Linked DNA regions of Lytechinus pictus. The protein of the gene in region 1 binds, or shares a complex with, the protein of each later gene. Links are inferred from orthologs where the notes say so. Each region holds a gene or a part of one and is shown on either strand. Other genes may lie near its edges. The genes, in order: mortality factor 4-like protein 1 and vacuolar protein sorting-associated protein 72 homolog.

What was found.
Region 2: mortality factor 4-like protein 1 (region 1) and vacuolar protein sorting-associated protein 72 homolog share a complex: the UniProt entries of both Drosophila melanogaster proteins name them as parts of the tip60 chromatin-remodeling complex. The link is inferred for Lytechinus pictus from reciprocal best matches to the Drosophila melanogaster genes MRG15 and YL-1.

The regions. Positions count from the first base shown.
Region 1 is NC_087249.1:20,515,441-20,528,030, forward strand, and holds the start of mortality factor 4-like protein 1, read left to right. Parts: upstream 1-6,907; 5' UTR 6,908-6,967; coding exon 6,968-6,998; intron 6,999-12,428; coding exon 12,429-12,475; intron 12,476-12,590. UniProt on the Drosophila melanogaster protein: Part of the Tip60 chromatin-remodeling complex which is involved in DNA repair. Upon induction of DNA double-strand breaks, this complex acetylates phosphorylated H2AV in nucleosomes and exchanges it with unmodified H2AV.
Region 2 is NC_087247.1:35,240,622-35,253,282, forward strand, and holds the start of vacuolar protein sorting-associated protein 72 homolog, read left to right. Parts: upstream 1-6,396; 5' UTR 6,397-6,478; coding exon 6,479-6,501; intron 6,502-7,654; coding exon 7,655-7,799; intron 7,800-8,615; coding exon 8,616-8,768; intron 8,769-9,310; coding exon 9,311-9,437; intron 9,438-11,833; coding exon 11,834-12,028; intron 12,029-12,531; coding exon 12,532-12,661. Other genes in the region: lysophosphatidic acid phosphatase type 6-like, read right to left, coding at 240-370, 1,190-1,321, 4,989-5,270. UniProt on the Drosophila melanogaster protein: Part of the Tip60 chromatin-remodeling complex which is involved in DNA repair. Upon induction of DNA double-strand breaks, this complex acetylates phosphorylated H2AV in nucleosomes and exchanges it with unmodified H2AV.

The DNA.
Region 1 (12,590 bases):
AGTTCGGGATTTATTTGAACCACTTGCATAACTTGGATAACAGAAAAATAACAAAACGTTCTGTAATAAAAGTAATCTTTCATATTTCAACATCATAATGGATCCGAATAGATATTGATATGATACGTGTATAGTTTCATGTAAATGATATAATAATCATGATAATAGCAACTAGAGTTCAGTTTTTCAGAGCAATACCTCATTGCAGCTAGTCCAAGTGGACGTCAGGTTCCTAAATTAGTTTCGATGGTAGTTTCTAGTGTAGCGAATCAGGGATTTAAATTTATAATAATAATGATAATAATAATTCAATACTTACAAGCGCCAAACAAAATTTCTCTAAGCGCTTTACATCACAAAACCTAACTACTTAACTTAATAAACTAAACTCACTTATCAACTTAACTACCTTACATAACTAAACATCCAACGTAACTACCTTACATATCTAAAATACTAACTTAACTACGGGCATATTAACTGTAAAAAATCATACTATTTACGGAAGAGATATGTCTTAAGTGCTACTTTAAAGGAACGTAGAGAAGAATGGGATCTTAAGCTAAGAGGAAGTGAGGAAATTTATAGGTGTTTTTAAATACCATTCTATTGACCAGTTTTGAAGGGGAAATTCACCATGACAAATGGTTTACTGTAAAAATAGCAGAAAAAAAATATATTGAAGGTTTTCGGAAAACCCATCAAAGATTAAGAATTTTTTTAGAAGTTTGAGTTTTTGATCTGTGACGTCATATACTAGCAGCTGCCCCGTATTTTATGCACCAAAATGTATACTCTTCATTTTTTTAATCAGTGGTTCATGATTGCTAAAAACAATATTTCAGGAGCGGATGTAAAATGATTTGTATGTTAATATACTTAAGGTACAATAAAAACCATTTCTTTTTTTTTGGAAATGACATTTCATTGATATTTGTTAATACACCATATATGGGAAAAACTGCTCGCAAATGACGTCACCGTTAAAATGTAAAATTATAATAGCTCTTTTAATCTTTGATGGATTCGCTAAAACCCCTACCAATATCATTTTAATTATTTTCTGCTATTTTTACAATAAACTTTGTCCTGTAATGAATTAATTACAATACTTGGGATCCAAAGAGTGCTTCAAATTTGAATATTAGAAGAGCGATTTGACATGAGAAGGCCATGCATGTAAGTCCAGGAAAACAATTAGAAATACCAACTCAAGTGTTATCAATTTGGTGCAGAAGATTAACAGTATGATTTAAAAATTTTACCCTTTCCATTAGTCCAACATTATAATTCTAATTTTCTTCTCAAAACTTTTCTTTTTTAATCTACTGTACGAGGAGGGGCTTTGGATTTTTTGGCATGGGGATTTAAGACTGGCCATTTATACATCTATCATTTTTACCTCTGCCATTATTACCTTTGCAATTTTTACCTTTGCCATTTTATCTCTGCCATTTTTACCTCTGCCATTATTACCTCTGCCATTTTTACCTCTGCCATTATTACCTCTGCCATTTTTACCTCTGCCATTTTTACCTCTGCCATTTTACCTCTGCCATTTTTACCTTTGCCATGGTTACCTCTGCCACTTTTACCTTTGCCATTTTTATCTCTGCAATTTTTACCTTTTGCCCTTTTTATCTCTGCCATTTTTACCTTTGCCATTTTTCCTCTGCCATTTTTACCTCTGCCATTATTACCTCTGCCATTTTTACCTCTGCCATTATTACCTCTGCCATTTTTACCTTTGCCACGTTTACCTCTGCCATTTTTACCTTTGCCATTTTTACCTTTGCCATTTTTACCTTTGCCATTTTTACCTTTGCCATTTTTACCTTTGCCATTTTTACCTCTGCCATTTTTACCTTTGCCATTTTTACCTTTGCCATTTTTAACTCTGCCATTTTTACCTTTGCCATTTTTACCTTTGCCATTTTTTCCTTTGCCATTTTTACCTCTGCCATTTTTACACCGAGCCGATCATGCAACCTAAGACTTGTCAGTGATACTTGATTACCCCTATATCCACATTTTATAAACTAAATCTATTAACTTTGAAAGTTATGACTGTCACAGCAATCTAATAATTACCACCAAAATGGCCAAAGTTCAATTACCTTAAACGACCTTTGACTTTGGTCATGTGACCTGAAACTCACATGAGATGTTCAATGATACTTGATTAGCCTATGTCCAAGTTTTATGAACTAGATCCATACACTTTCAGAGTTATGATGGTTATTCAACAAATACCCCCCCCCCAACATGGCCAAAGTCCATTGACCTTTGACCTTGGTCATGTGACCTGAAATTTGCACAGGATGTTCAGTGATACTTTATGTCCAAGTTTCATGAATAAGATCTATAAACTTTTAAAGTTAAGATGGTAATTCAATAAATACCCCCTATTTGGCCAAAGTTCATTGACCCTAAATGACCTTTGCCCTTGGTCATGTGACTCAAAACTCAGGCAGGATATTTAGCAATACTTGATTAACCTTATGTCCAAGTTTCATGAACTAGGTCCATATACAGTTATGTTATGATGTTATTTCAAAAACTTAACCTTAGGTTAAGATTTTGATGTTGATTCCCCCCCAACATGGTCTAAGTTCATTGACCCTAAATTAACTTTGACCTTTGTCATATGACTCAAAACTCAGGCAGAATGTTCAGTAATATTTGATTAACCTTATGGCCAAGTTTCATGAACTAGGTCCATATACATTCTAAGATATGCTGTCATCTCAAAAACTTAACATTCGGTTGAGATTTGGTGTTGACGCCGCCGCCGTCGCCGCCGCTGTCGGAAAAGCGGCGCCTATAGTCTCACTCTGCTTCGCAGGTGAGACAAAAAAGAGAAAAGGAAAGGGATAAGAAAGAAATATAGGCCTATTATTTTCCAAGTGTTATGTAAAAATCTATCACAAACTTTGATTTTTGTAATAAAAATGTCAACATTTTTGCTCGCTCGCTTCGTTCGCAACTTCTTATTAATTTTGCGCAATACGCTGTATCGAGCCCCCCCCCCCCCCCCCCAATTTTTTTTTGCTCATTACGCCACTGGGACAACCCCTTCAGAGAAACAAACAAAAATCAACTTTGAGCGGACGATCGCGGAAAATATGGGTGAAAAAAATTCGGCCCCCCCCCCTATTGGCGGAAGCTGGATCCGCCCCTGTACATGTACATGCCACAATCAAGTTATCGACCTATTTACTTAAATATAATACCCTGACGTTATTGAAATAGTTGATTGACCTCTAACCCCTAAATATATTTTTCATGGCCATTATTTATCCTTATATTTCAGAGTGAAATTATTGAACTTCCAGGTTTTCATTACAAATAGCCACCTTTCGTTCTATTTTTTACAAATAAAATGTGAATATAATGGATTAATTTCTTTTTTGGGGGAATCATGCATGGATATGTTATACAGATATTGCCTACCTAGAGTTTGAATATAACATTTCCTCTCCCCGACGGAGTTATATTTTTCCAAAGGGATTATATTTTGCCCGAAGCGCGCAGCGCTGAGGGAAAATATTCTCCCGAGGGAAAAATATAGCTTCGGAGGGGAGTTGAAATGTTATTTATTAAAACGATAGTCCAGGCAATATCTGTCATATTATATAGTCTATATGGATCAGAGATTAATTGCCTTCATCATCTGGCCCCAACCCGAAATTCTTGCTACAGCTCTGATCCGTCTACGTCATAATAGAAAAAAATTGGAAAATACATCAAGCGCGTTCTTCATGCAATCGACGCATTAAAGGGATGGTCCGGGCTGAAAGTATTTATAGCTTAATAAAAAGAGTAGAATTCACTGAGCAAAATGCTGAAAATTTCATCAAAATCGGATAACAAATAACAAAGTTATTGAATTTTAAAGTTTAGCAATATTTTGTGAAAATAGTCGTCATGAATATTCATTAGGTGGACTGATGATGTCACATTCCCACTTGTTCTTTTGTATTTTATTATATGAAATTAGGTTTATTCAAATTTTTTCCTCCAAGAACTAGAAAAATTGGATTGACAAATGATTTAGTGCATTAGATATTTATTGCTGCAACTTATTTCATTATAAGGGAGACATTATTATTCACACAAGTATGAAATAATGAAAAAAATATGATGTTATGTAATAACATAAGAAAGCGGAAAGTGGAGATGTGACATCATCATCCCACCTAATGAATATTCATGACTACTGATTTCACAGAATATTGCTAAACTTTAAACTTCAATAACTTTATTATTTGTTATCCGATTTTGATGAAATTTTCGGCATTTTGCTCAGTGAATTCTACTCTATGTATTATAAATAAATAATATAAATATTTTCAGCGCGGACCATCCCTTTAACACTAGCGCGTACATCAAATAAACTACATGATAACGCAACTTGTAAGCAGCGAGTGACGTCACCTTAGTGAATATAACGCCGCAATTGAAAATACAACGCAGTTATATTCACTGAGGTGACGTCAAAACCTCGAATATACCAAATGCGATCCTCGCAGCTATGATCACGTGATGGCGTATTGACCTATCACTGATTCGAACCTACATAAGCTATGTAATATAGATATTTATTAACTTTTGACCTTTGACTTTGGATATCAGAAGTGAATGATTATTCTTTATGATTATTTTTTGCCTTTTTATATATTCTTGCAAAATTGCTTTTGGCACCAAAATCACCAACATGCAGTGTTTTATCTCAGATATATCATTATACGATATATATCCTATGTAAAAAGGTCATTGACCTTTTGACCTTGAACTTTATGGATTAATATGCATTCTAGGTGATTAACTTTATCTTATTTGTCCTTCCTGTAATAAGCTGTGCATTTTGACACGACGATCACCAACCTAGCTGCCCGGGGGGGCACTCAGTATATAATGCATAGTGGGTATGTGCCGCGGAGGGGACCCCCATTACACTCAAATTTCCGTTCCGAGGCACAGCATTTTTGTCTTATTGAGAAAAAGAACAAAGAAAGCCGCTCCAGAGCATAGCATTTTCTTCTTCTCGAGAAAAAAGAAGAAAAAAATCCGCTCCAGGGCTTCGCGTATTTTCCGTTACGCCGTTCCGGTCGCAATTTTGGTGAAAAGCGGCCGCAGCTCGCTGTCCGTCGTGCCGCCGGATTAGCTCCATGTACGTTCCATAGGGATGCATACGCACTCGCACGCAGGCGACCCGTTCCAAGGACCCCCGTTTTCACAAACATTTGTAGTTCCGAAGCTCGTTCCGAGGACCCTCCTTTTTACAATGAGCCCGCTCCAAGGCCCCCGTTTTTTGTCTCGCCCGCGGCACACCCCTTCCACTTTTTTGGTCGAGTGCCCCCCCCCCGGGCCTAGCTGTGCCGTTCAATCTCAAAGATACTATTATACAGTAGCCTATGATACGTAATGTAAAAAAGGGTAATTGACCTTTGAAAGGCTTTGACCTTGAATGCTATTGTTTAATGTGCATTCTAGGTACACTATTTTATTTTATTTGATCTTCCTGTTAGAACCTCTGCATTTTGACGCCAATTAAGATCACCAACCTGCACCTTTTCATCTCAGAGTACCGTATGGTATAATGTATATAATAAAGGTCATTGACCTTTGAAAGGCTTTGACCTTGAATTTCATGGGTGAATGAGCATTTTAGGTGCTTAATTTGATTTTATTTGATCTTCTTTTAAGAATCTAGCTGTGCATTTTGACACCATGATCACCAACCTGTAATATTTTATCTGGGAGCTACCATTATACAGTATATTTGAAAAGGTCATTGACCTTTGACCTTGAAAAATCCCACAGACTTTCCCCAACCCGTATTCCTCCTAACTTTTTTGGTAAATGTTGACATCACCCATATACCTACTCAAATCAGTCCAAAAACCATTTCCAATAATTTCATTCCAGATGGTTACTAATATAATTGCGGGATACTAATGGTGCTGAAGTAAATTAAGTCAAAAAGGGGGGGTCAGTTACAAAATGAAGGTCGTTTTGGTTCAAAGAAGTCTGACAAGCAAAAAAAATAAAAAGGTTAGTTTCAACACGAAATTTTACATATATTTATCTAATTGACACACCTATACCAGAATTCAGGGGGTGCTGCCTATGAATAATAATACACGCAGCATATCCCCTGGGAAAATATGGGGGCAGCACCCCCGCTTCCTAGGTCCCGTGGGGAAAGAAGCTTCCTCTCAAGAAGGCTCCAAATCAAAGCAGTGGCAAAAATAGTCATTTTTTGACTGGTTGCCAACACGTACACCACAAGACAGAAGAAGAGGGCCCTAAGTTCTGCTCGGAGTCAGTCAATAGAATAAACTCAAGATGAAATAAACTCCGTAAGTCGTTATAACGAAAGAAATTTCACGAATTTTCGCCCATAGGGCTTTGTCAAGTTAGGATCAAGATTTGAAATTGCGTCATGATAAAAACAGTATGCGCGTACGTAGCTATAGCTAGTGAGAGAGAGAGAGGGGGGGGGGAGGAGGGGAGAGGAGGAAAGAATATATATAGGCCTATTATAATTATTATTATTATTATTATTATTGTTAGCATTATTATCATTATTATTAGTAGTAGTAGCAGTAGTATTATTGTTATTATTATTATTGTTATCATCATTAATATTATTATTGTTATTATTATTATTCATTATAGGCTATTTTTTTGAAGTCCCATAATAAGAAATCAGAGATTATATTATTTGACCGAGCCACATGATGATTGATAAGTAGTATATGACATAGAGATATATTACTTGTTGTAAACGGACCCCCCCCCCCCCCCCTCCACCTCCAAAAAAATTGTTTTCCTTCACGATTACCTGCACATACACGCAGCGAGCTAGCGCTCGCGGCCCGCGGCCCAGCTAGGCAGCTATCGCTAAAAATAGCGCAGCGTAGCGTCAAGGTAAAAGGTCAATTGATGTCAAAGACCGACCATGGCACCTGTCAAGACAAAGTTTTCGGAAGGTAAATGCTATGTTTTATGTGAATATTTCATTTTTATTTTTATCCTGCATGTATTATGCGGAGAGATACGTTAATTTGTATTTTGTAATACTTTTGTAATCTCTTTCTTACTCCGATATTTCAAGAATTGTTGAAAGATCGCACGTGAAATCCGTGAAATGCAAGCTTTGTTGGAATACGGTCCCACATGTGCATTCTCTCGTAGGCCTAGTAGTCGCTATAGTAATATAGTAATTAGTATAGTCACGTATTGTATTACCGGACACTATTCACTCTAGGCGACACCCCAATACTTACCCGTGCTAATAAACTGGGACTCCACTCACGCGCGTTTGGGCCTCCCTAGCTTAGAACTAAGCACTAATATCACCTTAAAAACTAAATCTACAAGGTATGTATAATCTATTTACAAATTTAATAATGTTTAATCGGTACTCACCGGTTCTTTTGTTGCATTTTCAGACCATTTCTCACAATTCTTCGTAAATATTTGCGGCAAATTTTGTCGCCATAGACAGCTTAGCGTCCATCTTTATTGATAAATGGAGCGCCCTTTACGATAGTTGTTAATGCCGCGGAGAAATCGTTAGGCATTTTGGCCTGTGTTCAAGGCGTTCTTTCTGTTTTATTTTTTATATTGAAGATTGTGCATTTGTTGAATAGCGCCGTCTACGTCAGGTATGAGATCGAGTGTATAAATACACTCTTCCAAAATAATTATGATTCCGACCTGGCGCTGTTTAACTTCAATCTCTTTCACCTAAATTAGCGATGAATGCTAGCATTATAAAATATATATTATTAACGTCTGACGAAAAGAATAACCAACCGATCAGCTGACGAGAACGCGAATCACGTGATCTTCATATCAGCTTCGATCGCGAGTCAGAAGAGAAGAGCAGCTGCCCAGAAAATCAGGAAAAAGCCGTGAAAATGTAAGTTCCCCTTCATTTCTTTCATTTTTTGTTGTTGCTAACGATGCATTTACACTATAAAATTATAATTTAAATAAGAGAAAGGAATTATAGCTTGTACTTGTGATATAATGTTTAAATATCCTGTTCTCAGAGATTTCTAACCAAAAATACTACTGATGTCGCCTATGAGGTCCATACATGTAATGTTGGACCTCATTGGTACTAGGAGTGACACTATTATAATTCCGGACGCGCATATTACTGCGTTCGAAAACCATTTCGTACGGTAAGACTTCCGCAATTCAGTTTCACAGAGCAATACATAGAACAGGATTGCAAAAACAAGGCGAAAAAAATCCAACTTTTAACTTATTATCTCTAAAATGACAGAAAATGCTTAAAATATCAAATAACATAGTTTTGCATTAACAATTGATATATTTTCTAACGGAAATATGGGTCTGATCTGCCGAATTTCAATCTCGTCCGCTCCTTCGATCGAATGATGAGGTGTGGTGTAAAAAAATGGGTGATCGTCGATGGCTAGTTCTCAAGGTACCCGTGCGCGAGGTTTACCGTGACTTTGTGAGTATAGAGCCGTCGACGATCGGCAGCGCATCGATAGAACTTGATGAGCGTCACGATACGAACGAGCATAATATTGGAAAGTTCCATGAAACATGCATCTAACAAGAAAAAATAAAGTAAGTTATCAAACACGAATTTATTACCAACATCTGCTCAGAATCGATATAAGAACAGCAAACAAAAACTTAGAATTTACTCATGATATGATATAAGAAGAAAAAATCACACAAATTTGTTCTTACATCATTATAATCAAGAATATCTTTACCCGTCCGGCGCGCGTTCAGAATCATGATGTAATTTGTCACGCACAAACATTATTGTTTTTCGTGGAGGGGTATGCAGCAAGTGCGATGCAAAGAAACAGTTGGTAAATATCAAATAAATTTATATTCATAATTTTCGTAATTGGAATAGCAACTAGCAAGTGCGAATTTTTCTTGAATGTATTTCCTCTAATTGTCATTTTCAAAGCACTGAAATATAGGTGTAGCAGAGCTGCCAACCAGTACGTATTTAGTATGTTTTTTGCAATCAAAATAAGACTGGTCAGGACAGTACGTTTTTTCTTTTAAAAATATGATTTTCATAAAACTTACACAATGTAATTTCAGGTAACTTGGTTTTTTTTTTTCAATCATTTTGTTAAAACCAGGGTGAGATATACACGTGTTTCAATGTTGTTTTTTTCATCTGCAAGAGCAGTGTGCATTTAAGCTTGCATGCAGCTTGAGCGCCTCGATGAGCGTGCATGCCACGCATTTTATTGTGAGATACATTTTTTGGGGGGAAAATACTTTTTTTTTATCACAGAATACAATTTTTCATTTCCAGAGGTTCCAGAGGTCTGGTGAAGAGGTGTAAAGAATACACTACCATACCTAACACGGGGCTCCACCGGGCCGTGGGCACTCGTTCAATGAACAAGGTTATGATATAGCCTTGTTCTCGGTTATGTGGAGAAATAAGGTTGGCAATTTTGGGCTTATTATTATCTCTTGTTCTTAGGGACAAATGATTGATTTTTTCAAATTGTCATTTTCCATTGATCACAACCACTCAATGAACAAGGTTATGATATATTGGGGTCGGGACAAGTCGGACTGCGAGCCGAGTTGTCCCACCCCTTTTCTTTTTTTTCCCCCCAATTTGTGTCTATTTTTCAGTCATTTCAAAATTTCTTGTAACAATTTCTTGGAACAAGACCTTCTTTCCTTGTGACCTCTGGTTAACTTTGTGAAGATGTAGATCTAACCAGCGGTAGATATACCGAAGGGTAGTACATTCAAGACAAAGTATCTCTTCTGACCATGGAACTCCAAACAAAAACCTAGATATTTCCTATGTTTTTCAAAATTTCCACATGATGGTATGCTGATTTAAGATCATATGTGAAAATGTTATCCCCTCATTCAAATAACATCACTAGCAACCGAGGCATCTTCGTACTTAAATTTGTTCTTGTACAAATGTGGATTGATATGCCTACAGTCTAAGACTAGTCTAAGTTCCCTTGTTTTCAGACACTGTTAAAGGATTAACAACTGATGGCTTATATTCCTCTTCTGAAACGCAACCTCTCTCTATCAATTTCCCAATTTCTTCCTCTACGAAATTTGAATGATTATGTGCAGATCTGTTATTAGTGAGCTCTCAATCATCAGGCAATGTATGTTAATACAATTTGTAACCGTTCTCGATAATGTCTAAAATCTCCTTACTTGCGCCGAATTCTGTGAATTCACTAGCATTTTTCTTTCAATTTTCCAACAGGAGAAACATTCTCCTTCTCTCTCGAGTCTACCAACTCAATATCTTGACACTCAACTTCATTTTCCTTTGCGGAATGTATCAATTCTGTATTTTGTTCTTGTTTAATTTCAGATATCACTTTTCCATTTTGGGGGAACTATCGGATACTATTGTTCTATACTCAAGAAAAAACTTAGATTCACTTATCTGATCTGAACGGCTGCCTCTAATGGATAATCCACCTTCCAATGGCCTGGTTTTCTGCAGGAAAAACAGATGCCGGGCTTCTTCCGGTCCTCTGGTGTTGTTCGACCAAAAGGGGTATAGGATGACGATGTGTGGCTTGGTGTGGGATCTTGCTCTCTCTGGAAACCTGGATGACTTTTCCATGGTGAAGATTTGGTTCCCGACATAAGGAAAATAAAACCTTCCTTCTGGTTTCTTCGCCTTCCTTTCCGCTCTCGCCTTGGCTTTGAACGTGGCTGTGCTTTTCATCGTCTGAGTCATTGGCTAATGTGTTCTGCTCATACTCATTAACAAGCTTCCATCCTAATGGCGACTTGTTGGCCATTTTGATAAGTTTTGTCTTTTTTCGATGATTTCCATACCTTCGGCGATCTTTTCCTTGGCGTCTAAAACTGCTGATGGCCTGTCCTGAGCTCCCTCGAGATAGTGATTGGCTTCTACAAGCTTCCTGTGTATCTTTACGTTGACCTAATGCTGTTCTTTGTTTCCTCTCCTCTGGAATTTGTAGTCGTCGGAATGCATTTCTCGAATCTTGGCAACCTGGGCGTCGTTTAGGATTTTCTGTGTTTTTCCAAAAGACTGCTGATAATTGTTCAGCCTGCTTGATATCAGATTATCGAGTTCAGATAGGAGATTGTTCTGAGTTTGACTCGTCTTAACATAGATCAACTCTGCAACTTTCGACGAATTCCATGTTGGTTTATTGGAAGCTCAAAAAAAGATGTGCTAGTATCAGTAGTGTGGTGCTGTAGGTTAGAATGAATATTGGCGTTCTCTACGCCCAACTCAAGAATCTACATCTTTTCATATATTCAAATTACCCTATACGTCATATTCAAATTATCAAATGTCATCAAGACCGCTATGCTTGCCTGACTTAGCTTTTGTACGTTCCCGTCTAAACAAAGTTTAACCAGCTATACTCCGTCATGCTGGAAAATAAATTTATGTTTTGACCTCATTGGTACTAGGAGTGCACGACGACGAGTTGTGCTATTGTGATGCGTGTCTAACCTAAATTCGACATGCAGGTGTACCAAGATTTAACAGTCAATCACAAGCCAGCATGCACATTCAATCACCAATGCACCAAACAGGAGCACCCATTTGTATACTCATCAGTGTCATGGAAAGTCTGATTTTAACTTCATAAATCTAACAAGTTAGAATTTATAGAAAACTAAATTTTGCCGTAAAAAATGTGGAATCTGATATGGCTTATTTCCAAAGCATGCAGAGGCTTATCTCGAATTTAAGAAACCGGGTCGCCAAAAGTACGCAAAAACAGAAAAAGTCGACCACATTGAATTTGTACATAAATAAAGTCAACTGATACATTCGGGTTGCCTTGATTTGACTGTGGATTTTAGCGCAGTGCGAGTGCGAATAGTTCTGGGTTGCAGTTCAGCTGCTCTCATATGCATTGACTTTTGAATGCGCTGTGCGCTATGTCCAAGCACAGCCGTGAAACATTGTTAGTACATCTCAAGATTACAATAAATATTGAGATGAAAGTTGAAATTTAACATGCAATTTAAAATCAGACAAATATATTAAACATTGGTGAATATTGTTTTTGTGAAAAGAAAGTTTTTTAAAAATATGGCAGAAAAGCTTCTATACTGTAGAAGTCAAATCTTCGGCTCTAGATTTGATATTTCCTTTTTTTTAATGTGTGGCAGTATTTACCAGTAAAATCATTTTTTACCAGCCATCCATGCTAAGACTGGAGTCTATTTAAAGTTGGAAAAAACTGTTGAAAATCTTTTGACAATAATGAATACAAGTGGAAAGGACTGTACATTACAAACACTTCATGCTGAATCACGTTATAGAAATCATCACATGATATCTGGGAAGCCTTAGAAATAACATTGAGGGATTATGTGATGAAGAAATAACTCTCTTTGTTGTACCCCTATATCAGGTGAAAGAGTTCTCTGCTTCCATGGACCTCTACTATATGAAGCCAAGGTAAAGTAGCAACATTTTATTCTTTTGGTTTTGTTTCCAGAGGCTGTGGAACATCGGGCTTGGACAAAGAAAGTTGAGGGGCACCTTTGTCTGCCAAACAATAGGTGGCTCTCCA
Region 2 (12,661 bases), on another chromosome or scaffold:
TTGACATTGAAACTTCGAACACAGGCATCAGAAATCAGTTCCATATGTTGCATAAGACTTAAAATAAAAAAAAGTAATGACACATTTCAGTGCAAGCTTTTCATGTTACAGTTTTATCTTGCAAAAGGTTGAGGCGAACCACAATGCACCCCCTGGGTTACTACAATCTATACTTGATAAACAGGCACTTCATTATTATATTTGACCATCATGAAACTTTGGTTCTACTAAACACTTACTATACCAGTTGTGGATTGAATTCCTTGGGTAGGAATCCAAGTTTCTCCATGTAATGTCTTCTCAATTCCTTTCCAAGATCATTGGCTTGTTTCATACCTTTGGCTGTAAGTTGACCTTTAAAAGATCCACCCTGAGTATTACAGACACAAGGAAAATATGTTTACATGTAAACTTGTTTGTTTGCTGGTTTCAGTGAAATGCAGTGCAGTTTGTCCTATCATCAATATTGTTTGAAAAATAATGTAACACTGTAATCTAAACATATCATTTGGCAAATGCATAACAGTTGGCAAATAAAAAAATGACAAAACACAAATCTATGAAATGCTGTTTCCAGTTTAATATAAAGAAATTCAAAATTTCAAAAATCAACAAGAATTTTAATAAAAATACTATGAATAGTTCTGGTTTGCTGGAACTGAATTTTCCTATCTACATTAAAACTTTCATATACTGATTTCAAATCTGTAATCAACCAACCAGCGCTATGGAAATAAGATTACACAGTGGGATCATTTCTGCATGCTTGAATCTATTTGCCTGTAGTGCTATAAAAGTACATTAAAAAATATGGTTGCACATATGTACATGTACACAGAATTAAACAATTGTATTTAAGCCCCCCCCCCCAAAAAAAAAAAAAATCCTGCACAGTAATCTCATTTTTAGAGTCCAACCTGGTTGATTGAAATCCAATATCATGAAATTCTTATTAAATTTTGTTCTAATGAAGCTGGTTAACTGTGACACTTTGATTTAAATTTATTTATTCTATTGGTCTGCCTACATGTATGTGCAAAAGATTGCATCTCCTGCACACTGGTGACTGGCTTGAATAAAGCACAGGAAGCCTGTATTGCATTTGTATGTTATTTGAAACTTGAAATTTTGTTACCACATGATTTATGAAATTCATCCAAACATGTGAATATACTTGTAACAAACATACCTTTAGTGGAGCCTTTCTGTAGTACTGCTCAATTTTCCATTCAGGCTGTGGTCTTCCATCTAAAGCCCTAACTTTGTAATCAATGCATAGATCAGCTTCTCCTTGGAATAAAGTATCTTTATCCCAAACGCTCTGTAATAGTGACAAAAAAAGAAATGTTTGATTAATAATCTTGCATTCTTCAAGTTCATTTGAAATGACACAGCGTAATTCACTTCATTTTCCACTATTTCCAAATCAATCTGCGAAGGTTAAAAAAAATGATTTTAGTTCACGAACCTCTTGAAATATAACAAGTACACTGTTGACCAGTGAACAGATTAATTTTTGTACACATACTGTAAGCTCAATACAGTGATTGTCAGGTGTCTGATCAATGATTTAAGTAGTCCAATGTAGCATTTGTTTTCTTTCAACATCCTTTATGCAAGCCTACTTGTAAATAGTGCTGCTCTCTTGTTGTTGCATTTTATTTTGCATTTAAGAATTCATAACATTACTTCTCTGTTCATCAGAGATATTGTATTTCAAATCAAATTAAATTAGAAAAGGCATAACAAAATCACCTTTAAGTGTGTTCACTGTGCAATCTCATTTATGATAAAAAAACACTATATATATCTTGATGGTGAGTATGATGATGAGCAAAGTGATAGTGATGAGTTTACTTAGTGATGACAGCACTATGACTGGCCTAGATATATAAGACAAGAAAGGAATATGATTTCTGATGAACTATATTATAATACAATTATAATAAAACAAGTGGAACGCCTCTGGCAGTCTCGCCTGCATTACGCGATTTTAGCAGCAGTGCTAACTTTGAAAACTACTATAAAATAATCATTCACAAAAACATCATTCATATAATGACATAATACCGTTCATTGACCATAAATGACATTTGAACGGTGACTTAAGACTTGTCAACTACACCCATGTCCACATTTCATTCACTCTATCTATAAACTTTCAAAGTTATGATGGCAATTCAACAATTACCCCAATTGACCTTAACTGACCTTGGTTTTGTGACCTGAAACTCACAGGGGATGTTCAGTGATACTTGATTACTCTTATATTCCAAGTTTTATGAACTAGATCCATAAGCTTTCAGAGTTAGGATGGTAATTCAACAAATACCCCCAACACGGCCAAAGTTCATTGACCTTTGACCATGGTCATGTGACCTGAAACTCGTACAGGATGTTCAGTGATACTTGATTACTCTTATGTCCAAGTTTTATGAACTAGATCCGTAAACTTTCAGAGTTAGGATGGTAATTTAACAAATACCCCCAACACGGCCAAAGTTCATTGACCTTAAATGACCATTGACCTTGGTCATGTGACCTGAAACTCGCACAGGATATTCAGTGGTACTTGATTAACCTAATGTCCAAGTTGCATGAACTAGATCCATAAATTTTCAAAGTTATGATGGTAATTCAACAAATACCCCCAACTTGGCCAAAGTTCATTGACCCTAAATGACCTTTGACATTGGTCATGTGACCTGAAACTCAGACAGGATGTTCACTAATACTTGATTAACCTTATCTCCAAGTTGCATGAACTAGATCCGTAAACTTTCAGAGTTAGGATGGTAATTTAACAAATACCCCCAACACGGCCAAAGTTCATTGACCTTAAATGACCATTGACCATGGTCATGTGACCTGAAACTCGCACATGATATTCAGTGGTACTTGATTAACCTAATGTCCAAGTTGCATGAACTAGATCCATAAATTTTCAAAGTTATGATAGTAATTCAACAAATACCCCCAACTTGACCAAAGTTCATTGACCCTAAATTACCTTTGACCTTGGTCACGTGACCTGAAACTCGAGCAGGATGTTCACTGACACTTGATTAACCTTATGCCCAAGTTTCATGAACTAGGTCCATATACTTTTTAAGTTATGATGTCATTTCAAAAACTTAACCTTCGGTTAAGATTTTGAAAATAATTCTCCCAACATGGTCAAAGTTCATTGACCCTAAATGACCTTTGACCTTAATCATGTGACCTGAAACTCAGGCAGGATGTTTAGTAATACTTGATTAACCTTTTGTTCAAGTTTCATGAACTAGGTCCATATACTTTCTAAGTTATGATGTCATTTCAAAAACTTAACCTTAGGTTAAGATTTGATGTTGACGCCGCCGTCGGAAAAGCGGCGCCTATAGTCTCGCTCTGCTATGCAGGCGAGACAAAAATAAATTGGTTTGACCCCATCCATCAAAGTAGCAACCACATCTACCATAAACCTAATTGATATTTTTTTTTGCTGGTATACAAACAAAGATGACTTCTGCTCACTATAATCATGCATCTACTAGATATACTGTAATCAAAGTCACCAACACCTTTGCTACATATAGTTTTAGGGATGTCAGTATATGGGAATATATACTAGTATAGTAGTAATAAAGACTTGCTTTGCAAATTGATCAAAGAAAGAAATAATATTGAAAACAAGGCATTATTTTTTTCAAACCAAGGATTTATCAAGGTCAGAACCCAAGTTGTTTTGTCTGTGGATGTCTGGATGAAAAAAAAAAGAAACTACAGTAGAAGGCTACAATTAACAAATATATCAGGCTTTGAAAAAGTATAGTGGAATTTATCTGAGGTTGGTCTGGCAATTACTATTTTTCCCGAGGGGCGAAACCCCGAGAGAAATATATTAGTTTTGCCAGTCCAACCGAGGACTAATAATTCCCACTATGCTTTCAAATGAAATGCCTGATATATTTTGTTTTATATCCTACTTTTAATAATTTATAACCAAAATCTATGCGCTGAGCTTGCAAAGTCTGGTTACTTGCGTTGAATTACCTACTTTTCTCCGAGCCACCGCGCTCAGCGAAACGCAGATTAGTGCCTGCGCCAACGCATCAAGGGACTTGCCCGGCCCGGGAGAGAGAGCTCGCTGGCCGGTGCGCCCGAGAGTTTAGCTAAATATCCAGTTTTCTGAAATAATGACGTCAGAATATTGGTATAGCGAAAAATATATCGAGGTCTGACGTCACAAACATTATAGTTGAAATATATTTGGTCACATGATGCTATTTGAACCAATCACTATACAGGATTCAATCTATGTAGGATTTATCAAATTTGCTTATAATTCATATCCCTATTTTGAAAAATCATATGTGGCAGATCGCCTCTCATACAGTTGGATTGGACTCATGGGAGAATCTCTCCCAAATTAACCTAAGACGGCTGTAGAAATCACATAACATTGATAACAACATAAACGATGATCACATCATTTCACATGAGAGTTTCTTTCATAGATCTTCCTTTCATTCTTTCTTTCCTACTTTCTTCCATCGTCCTTTCTTCCCCACTCCCAGCTCATTCAGCCTTCATTTATTTCATTTTCTCTGTCCTTTCCTTTCTTTCTCCTTTCATCTCTTCCCATTAAAGAATCTTTTCTATCTTCCATTCTTTTTCTTTCTTCCTTCCTTTCATAATACTTCTTTCTTTCTTTGGTTTAAATTGTCTTTTCTCTCTTTTTTTCCTTCCTTCCTTTTGATTCTTTCTTTCTTGATTCCTTCTTTTCTTGCTATTATCTTTCTTCTTTTTTATTGTTCTTTTTCTGTGTTTATTTCTTACTTTTCCCCCTTCCTTCCTCTCCCCCCCCCCCCCCCCCCCCCCCCGCAACAAGAGCAAGTGCAAATTGTTGGCTGGTCACTTCACTTGCACTTGAATTCTGAAATGTGAAGAGTGAAAATAAAATGTAAGAAGCTGTGACTGTGAGATGGCCAATTTAAACACCCTACCTGCTCAGACTTTGGGATACATCCAGATCCTAGTGGCGTTCTAGCACCATGTCTAAACAAAATCTGCACAAACTTAAGCTCCAAATCATCACGTGTAACCAGCGGAATAGAGGCATCCTTGCAAGCCGAAGCTCTGGGGGTCTCTCCAGCTCCATTTCCGCTTGATGCTGAGACTGAGAAGGGCGAAAGAGACATCATAAATGGTATTACAGTCCCGACACTGCCCATCGTAGCTCCTAATATGGCAGCTCCGAGGTGTGGGGTTTTGTTGAAAAATGGCATTTCTTTATCTTTATTGATTATTAGTTTGTTTGAAGAAAAAATTTAACACAAATCCCAGGACCCAGTCAACTTGCACTTGCGTGATGAATGCACTAGTGTTATTTTTCGTAGTACGGGCCGGGGACGGATACGCATACGGATAAGGTACCGTATATACCGGTATACGGTAACCGGTACTTATCGGTATATAATGGGTGATTTCAAGTTTGGTGTTCGGTGTTGGTGTTGGTGTTGAGAGCATAAAAAGGCCGCTGAACCGAGCTCCAACACCGAGCTGGGTTCAGAGGAATGATACCGATTGCGTTATCGATAGCACATGACGTCACGCCTCTGCGCTGCGCTGCTAAATCATCTCAACTTCACGCGAGAAGTCTCGACGACGAAAATGAAATCTGAGAGAAATGCATTAAATGCTCATCGTTCAGAATACAAATGTTTTAATTAATTCAAGAATTCAAAAGAGTGAACATTATTCTTCATCAAAATATATACAGCTCAAATGATTTGTACTTAGCTAAACTGTAAAAGCTAATTTTACGGGGATGTTTCATCGTGTTCGCCGCCTGTTCAAGAGCTTGAGATTGCCAACACCAACACCAACACCGAACTTGAAATCATGATTTTCCCAATCCCTGGGGGTTGGTGTTGGTGAATGGGGAAATTGCACGTAGATCGTCAACACCAGCCGCAGTGCTGGGTTCAGCAGACGACATTCAACACCAGCATTCAACACGAACTGCCGGAAATAAGTCATATTTTCCGAGGTCAATCCCAACACCATCCTGATTTCAAGTACGGTGTTGTGGCTAGTGTTGGTGTTGTCACAACACCAACACCAGATTTCAACACCGTACTTGAAATCACCCAATGACGCAATTATCCTGCAGGAAAAAAATCTTTGCACAAGTCGGCGTTTAGTTTCTTCATTTTTTCACTCTTCTGGTAATATTTTCATAAGTTTTTAGTGAATCAAAATGCATATGACATTCTTTTACAATTATTCAAACTGAAGTATTACTTAGAGAGTGTGCGAAATAGAATTTATAGCACACCTAACGTTTGAAAGTTGCAGCCGGGCTAGGGACGTAGCAGGTCGTAGGCTAGGCCGCCGCGGTCCACGTACGCGGTTCGGCGGGAAGTTTCTCCCCAGCCTGGTCCGGCCATTCCGCGCCGCGCCTGTTTGTCGAGCCTCAGCGGTTCAAGTTTGGATGAATTTTTTGGTGTTGAGAAAGTGAGAAAAGCAACTGAACCAAGCTACATTGACATTCTAATCGTTGCCTTATCGTGAAATTCTGTTTTCGATCTTGTGTGTGTGTTGCCTGTTGGTATGATTATGAATACAGTGAAGTGAATAGGGTGACAGGCGCAGGCATAATTTGCAATTTGCGCACTTTTCAACTTCAAGAACTAACTTTAGATCAAGTCAATCTTGACGTTCATATGCCATAATAATCAATATAATGATTGTGGGCATTAACGGAAAGACAAGAAGACAAGATCTAACGTTAGCTTGCCTTTAGAAAAGAATAAGGCAGACAAGTCAAAGGTAAAATAATTGTATCAGATGGAGGTTGAAATGCCATGGGATTTGTTTTTATCCCAATTAACTATAGGGACATGTGCGTGTAAAAATGGCGTTTGCTTGAAAGTTGATGCTTGTCTAGACAACTGGCAGCCGTCTGTTTCGAAGAGTTTTTTTAAACATTTTATTTTTTTTATATATTTCTCCTCGTACACAGACGGCTCGCTATCGTGCAGCCACCATTAGGGGGTTAAAAATGCAAAATCCCCCTGACGGGGCTCATCGATTTTTGTCTTTATTTCATAAAAATATATAAAAAGAACTGTACCAAAATAAAGATTATCATTCCGTTTTGGCCTGAAATGCACCGAAACGGGGAAAAATAAACTTAAAAGGGGAAAAAACAGTGACTTCGGCTGTCGCGCAACTTCACTTCCCTGTTTTATCCGAACTTAATACATAAACAAATGGCCATTGAGTCCCCTGTACAGATCGAGCTAGAACTTCTGTCTCTGTATTCGGTGAGTGGAGCCAACGGAGTTCAGCGGAACAACCAACATAACAGAGACCAAAGCTTTTGGTCTAATGCTTGTCTACTGTCTAGAAGTTCAGATTTTCTTGGAACAATTTGTAAAATAAAACAGGTTCAAAGATGATAACCAGCAGGGATGGATCCAGGATTTTCCAAAAGGGGGCACATTTTCCTGAGGAAAATTTTGACAAGCATAAAAAAAGGTTTTTAACTATTAACAATTAAGGGTATTTCGTCCATGAAAAAAATTGACAAGCAAAAAAAAGGGTCTTCAGTTTCAACCAGCACTGGTACTTTTCTATTTTTTTCTTCTCATTTCTTATACCACAGTCCATTAGAGAATCACACTATTATAATCATGTCACTGGTCCAGACAAGAGAAAAGCGTGCCAATGCTGGCAGCAAGATGCACAGACTCCTTGCTGAAGAACAAGAGGATGAATTCTATAAAACAACATATGGAGGTTTCCAGGAGGTGAGGATTACTTTAAGTAAACAGTATAGATGACTAATTTGAGACTATTAAAGCTTGCATTTGCAGGCTGGTAACTATGGAAATGTATGCTTTAAGCATAATCAGTCTGCAAAATAATAACTTTGTATGAGTCTGCTCTCCATAAGACAAAAAGTTGTAAGAATTTAAAGTAACTACTGATAAAATTGTATTATTTGCTTATGTGGCATAAAGAGTTTGACTTACACAGAGTCACATATGTATAGGCCTATATGCCAGTTCATGTGAAAACTAGTTATTTATTGAATAAGATCATTCTATTGCAAAGAGTGTAGACCAAATACACATTTTTTTTATAATATCTAGGTTGTGTATTAATTTGTTCAGTGATATATGCTGATATCAGGCTGAAATGTAAATCCTACATATGGATTGGAATTAAAATTACTTTTATTTTTCCACCTAAAAGGGGGAAAATCACCTCATTCTGTTAAACTGATTCCTATATAAAATAATAATTAGAAAGTCAAAAAGGGGCCTAAGTTTTCGATCCTAGTAGAATCTTCGTCGGAGGCAAAATGACAAACATATAAAGTGGAACAACCATAATATAGACCACAAACAAGCTACAGCAACACTAGAAACCTAAAAAGTTATAATTAAAAGATTCAGAACAGGATCATTATCAACTCAAGTAACTTATACAAAAACTTTAGAGTCGCAAATTTCCCCATAGTTCAAATGCAGATAGACTACTGTTTTAAACCATCTTGAGGACCCATTTCTGAATAATACCCGATTGGTGTTGATAGATTCTGTTATATGTGATTACTCCAGGAATCTGGTGATGAGGAATATTCTAGTGAGGAGAGTGAAGCGGATTCATCATCTGATAGTGATATTGATGCCCCAGAGGATGATGAACCAATCAGTGATAGTGATGATGATGGACCAAAGAGAAAACGAAGAGTGATTACTAAATCCTACAAGGTTAGACCCTCTCTTATCCCTTGTCAAAGTTATAGTTTCACCACCTTTTCTTTGTAAAACCTTACTTTTTCATTTTTATTTTCAATCATTGTACTCTGTTACCTTATAATTTTTTCAAGGTATATATAGATAGTCAAAATTGCTCTTGCGATCATCTACTGAAGAATCACACGTTCGGTGTCCCTCATGTTATTTCCCCTATGTAAACATGTATGGATAATTAGATTTTAAAAATAACAAAGGTAAGGTACAGTTTATTTAATGTATTTTTACAACACTTCTGTGCATGTCATCACTTAAATAAGAGGGAGTTGATGTCATATACTTGCTTTTCTTTTTGTATTTTATTAAATGAAATTGCAATTCAGATTTACTTCACCAAGAATGTAAAAGTATGAGATTGCTGAAATAATGCTAGGAAATTGTCAGTAGTAGAAGTAGTCAGAAGTACTGTACAATCTGCTATTGCAAATCCCTCTCTAAATGATTTCTTGTTGCAACTTCTCGAGTTTGATTTTACTATAAATATCTTCCTATTCCAGGAGCCTGCCAAGAAGCCTGTCATGAAAAAATCTCCCACAAGTCACACCCCAAGGGAAAAGAAAGCGAAAATTACCACACCGAGCAGTAAGAAGAAGAAACATTACTCCAAGGAAGATTCCAGTTCAGGTATGTGCCATTTTCAGGATAGAACAAAGTCTTTAGTCCAAATGAGATCTCTGAAACCTTAAAGCTTGAGATTAAATGTTTTGTCAACCTTGATGGGACTGGCTGAATGAACTTCCTCAGTAAGGTTTTAAAGGTCAAGTCCACCCCAGAAAAATGTAGATTTGAATAAAAAAAGAAAAAATCAAACGAGCATAACACCAAAAATTTCATCGAAATCGGACATAAAATAAGAAAGTTGTGAAATTTTAAAGTTTCGCTTATTTTTCACAAAACAGTGATATGCACAACTCAGTGACATGCAAATGAGACAGTCGATGATGTCCCTCAGTCACTATTTCTTTTGTTTTTATTGTTTGAATTATACAATATTTCATTGTTTACAGATTTGGCAATAAGGACCAACTTGATTGAACCATATAGTATTAACCCTCAAGCTCCCGGGGTATTTTGATTCTTGTCATTCCCGGGGGGGGGGGGCCATTATGGCCCCCCCTTAAGATCTCGGCCGCCGATCGCGCGAGCGACACAAAAATTTGCACGCTGGTAGTGTGTGATGTAATCTACAAGGCTGTATGGTAAAATTTTCCAAAATATTGAGATTTTATTTTATATGAATTAATTATGCTAATTTATGCATAAATCATACTTTTTGCTCTAATTCACTAAATAAAGCTCCTAGAATGCTAATTTTTGGTAAAAATATTCTTTGTAGCATTCTTAACAATCGCAATAAAAAAAAACTTCGGTTTGGAAATCAATTTCTTATGTATTTTATTGTTTTATGAATTTCTTATGTATTTCTTTGTTTTTTTACTTTTGGTTTTTTATTGTTTTTTCTATGGAAATCGTTCCAGACTTAATTCTGATCATAAACAAGGCAAAATTAATTAAGTTTAATCAGTAAAAGTAGAAATAATGATACATTTATGAATTTTGGCTAAATACACTATTTGCATTGGATTTGTACATGAAATCACGTTTATGAGCAATTTTGGGTCTGACATGCACTTATATAATGTTGCGTAATGTCGTAACCGCGTACCCGGGCGTCACAAATTTGGTCTCAAAATTTGCGCGAGACTTGAAAGTAAAAAGTCAGTGAGCGGCGAGGTAAAAAAAATTCGCGAAGCAGATATATCGCGAAAATTGTCGAGGGGGGGGCCATTATGGCCCCCCCCGGGAGAATTAGGGTTAAACAATGCTAATTCCACATGTTCAGGGAGGAATTAATGTTGTTTCACTTGATAAGAAGAAAATTAGAATATTCCATATTTTATATAATAAAATACAAAAGAAATAGTGAGTGGATGACGTCATCAGTCTCCTCATTTGCATACCTACCAGGATGTGCATATAACTATTTTGTGAAATGAAGCAAAACTTTAAAATGTCATAACTTTCTTATTTTACATCCGATTTCGATGTAATTTTCAGTGTTGTGCTTGTTGGATTTTTCTCTTTTTATTAAAATATACTTTATGTTGGGGTGGACTTGTCCTTTAACTTTCAAATCTATGAATCCTTGAGCTGGGATGTTATGTTACTAAGCTGTAGATGTATGTTGCCTCTATGCCTTATGTAACTTCTTGAAACTCTATTTGGCTGACCAAAATGATTTTCGGCTAGCTGAAAATGAAGCGTCGTGGTGTAGCAGTTCTGACTCTTGCCTTGCAATCAGAGGGTCGTGTGTTTGAATCCCACCGCGGCCTAGCGCCCTTTGGCAAGGCCTCAATCCACAATTTGCCACTCTCCACCCAGGTGTTAAGTGGATATCTGGTAGGATGCGAAAACCTATGTCATATGCCTAGCAATTGAGTCTTTGAACTCTTGTTGGAATGCTCCCCAAGGAGTGGAGAAAGTGCATACATTGTGTGCGGGCATGATAGGATCCGATGATCGGGGTAATGATATTTACAATGTAAAGTGCTTAGAAACAAAGTGTAATAAGCGCTTTATAAATGTAACAATTATTATAGTCAGTGCATTGACCTTGATGGGAATGGGGTATCTGATACCAACCCAATCTGCGCATATAGCATGCATGGCATAAAGCCTTGATGGCATGGATGGACATATATTCAAGGATCTCCATTATATTACAAGATTTCATTTAGGGCATGAGTCGGGTGTTTAATATAATTATTCAATGTTGATATAAATTGTGAACATTTTTCCAGCATTATTTTTCTAATATGTTTGAAGAAGCACGTTTTAAGTAGTCAAACTTACATCCTATTTTTTAATATGAGTCCCAAATATGTAGGATGAAATCAGTGGGCTCAATTCTTTTCAAGAACAATTATGGGAGATTGTTTTAATGAAGCCAGGAAGTATTTTGTAGTGTTAATGAGAAGTCTTCATAGAATAAAATATTGTTGAAATTCTTGTCTTCTCAGTTCGCAAGTCAAGCCGACGGTCAACCATCCAACGGGTGAATGAGTTTGAGATTCGGATCAAAGAGCGTGAGACCAAAGCACAGATCATCAAACAACAGAAGACAAAGAAGAACGTTCCAGAGATGAGACGACTCACTCAAGAGGAGCTCCTTGCCGAGGCTAAGATCACAGAGAAGAAAAATCTTCACTCTTTATGTGAGTTCTTGATTATTTTTAGACCAACTCTCTTATCAGTAATTTTTGTGTTACAACTTACAATTGATTGAAAAATAAATTTTTGGAGAGGGGGGGGGGGCAGTTTGTGGATTAAAAACAAAGATAAAAAAAATAAATAAGTGCACATATGTGGATGTTTATAATAATAATACTAGTACATGTGACTTAGAAATTGCCAAATCCACTCTGTAGATTGCCCAAGCGACATAAAGAATTAGGAAATGAACAGAAAGCTTTGAAGAACGCATGGGTGTGAGTGTGACAAAATATTGTGGTCTTCATTCTGAAGATGACAAGAAAACACTTGTCAAAATGTCGAGTTTGGATGGTCCTTTTCCGGACCATCAGTTGCCCAAGAAATATACATGGTTTACTGTGAAACGCACTACACATCTTCTTTGCCATGGAAACCTTCAGAAGTTAATTTCTCTATAATATTTTATAATTTTGATTTTTTTCTATATGTTTTATCTCTTTTGTAGACCTTTTCCAACAGCTAGAAGAACAGAAGAAAAAGACGAAAGTGTTCAAGAAAGGATTCACAGGTCCATTTATTCGCTTTCATTCCACAACAATGCCGGTTGAACCAAAGATCCAGGAAATAGATGTTAA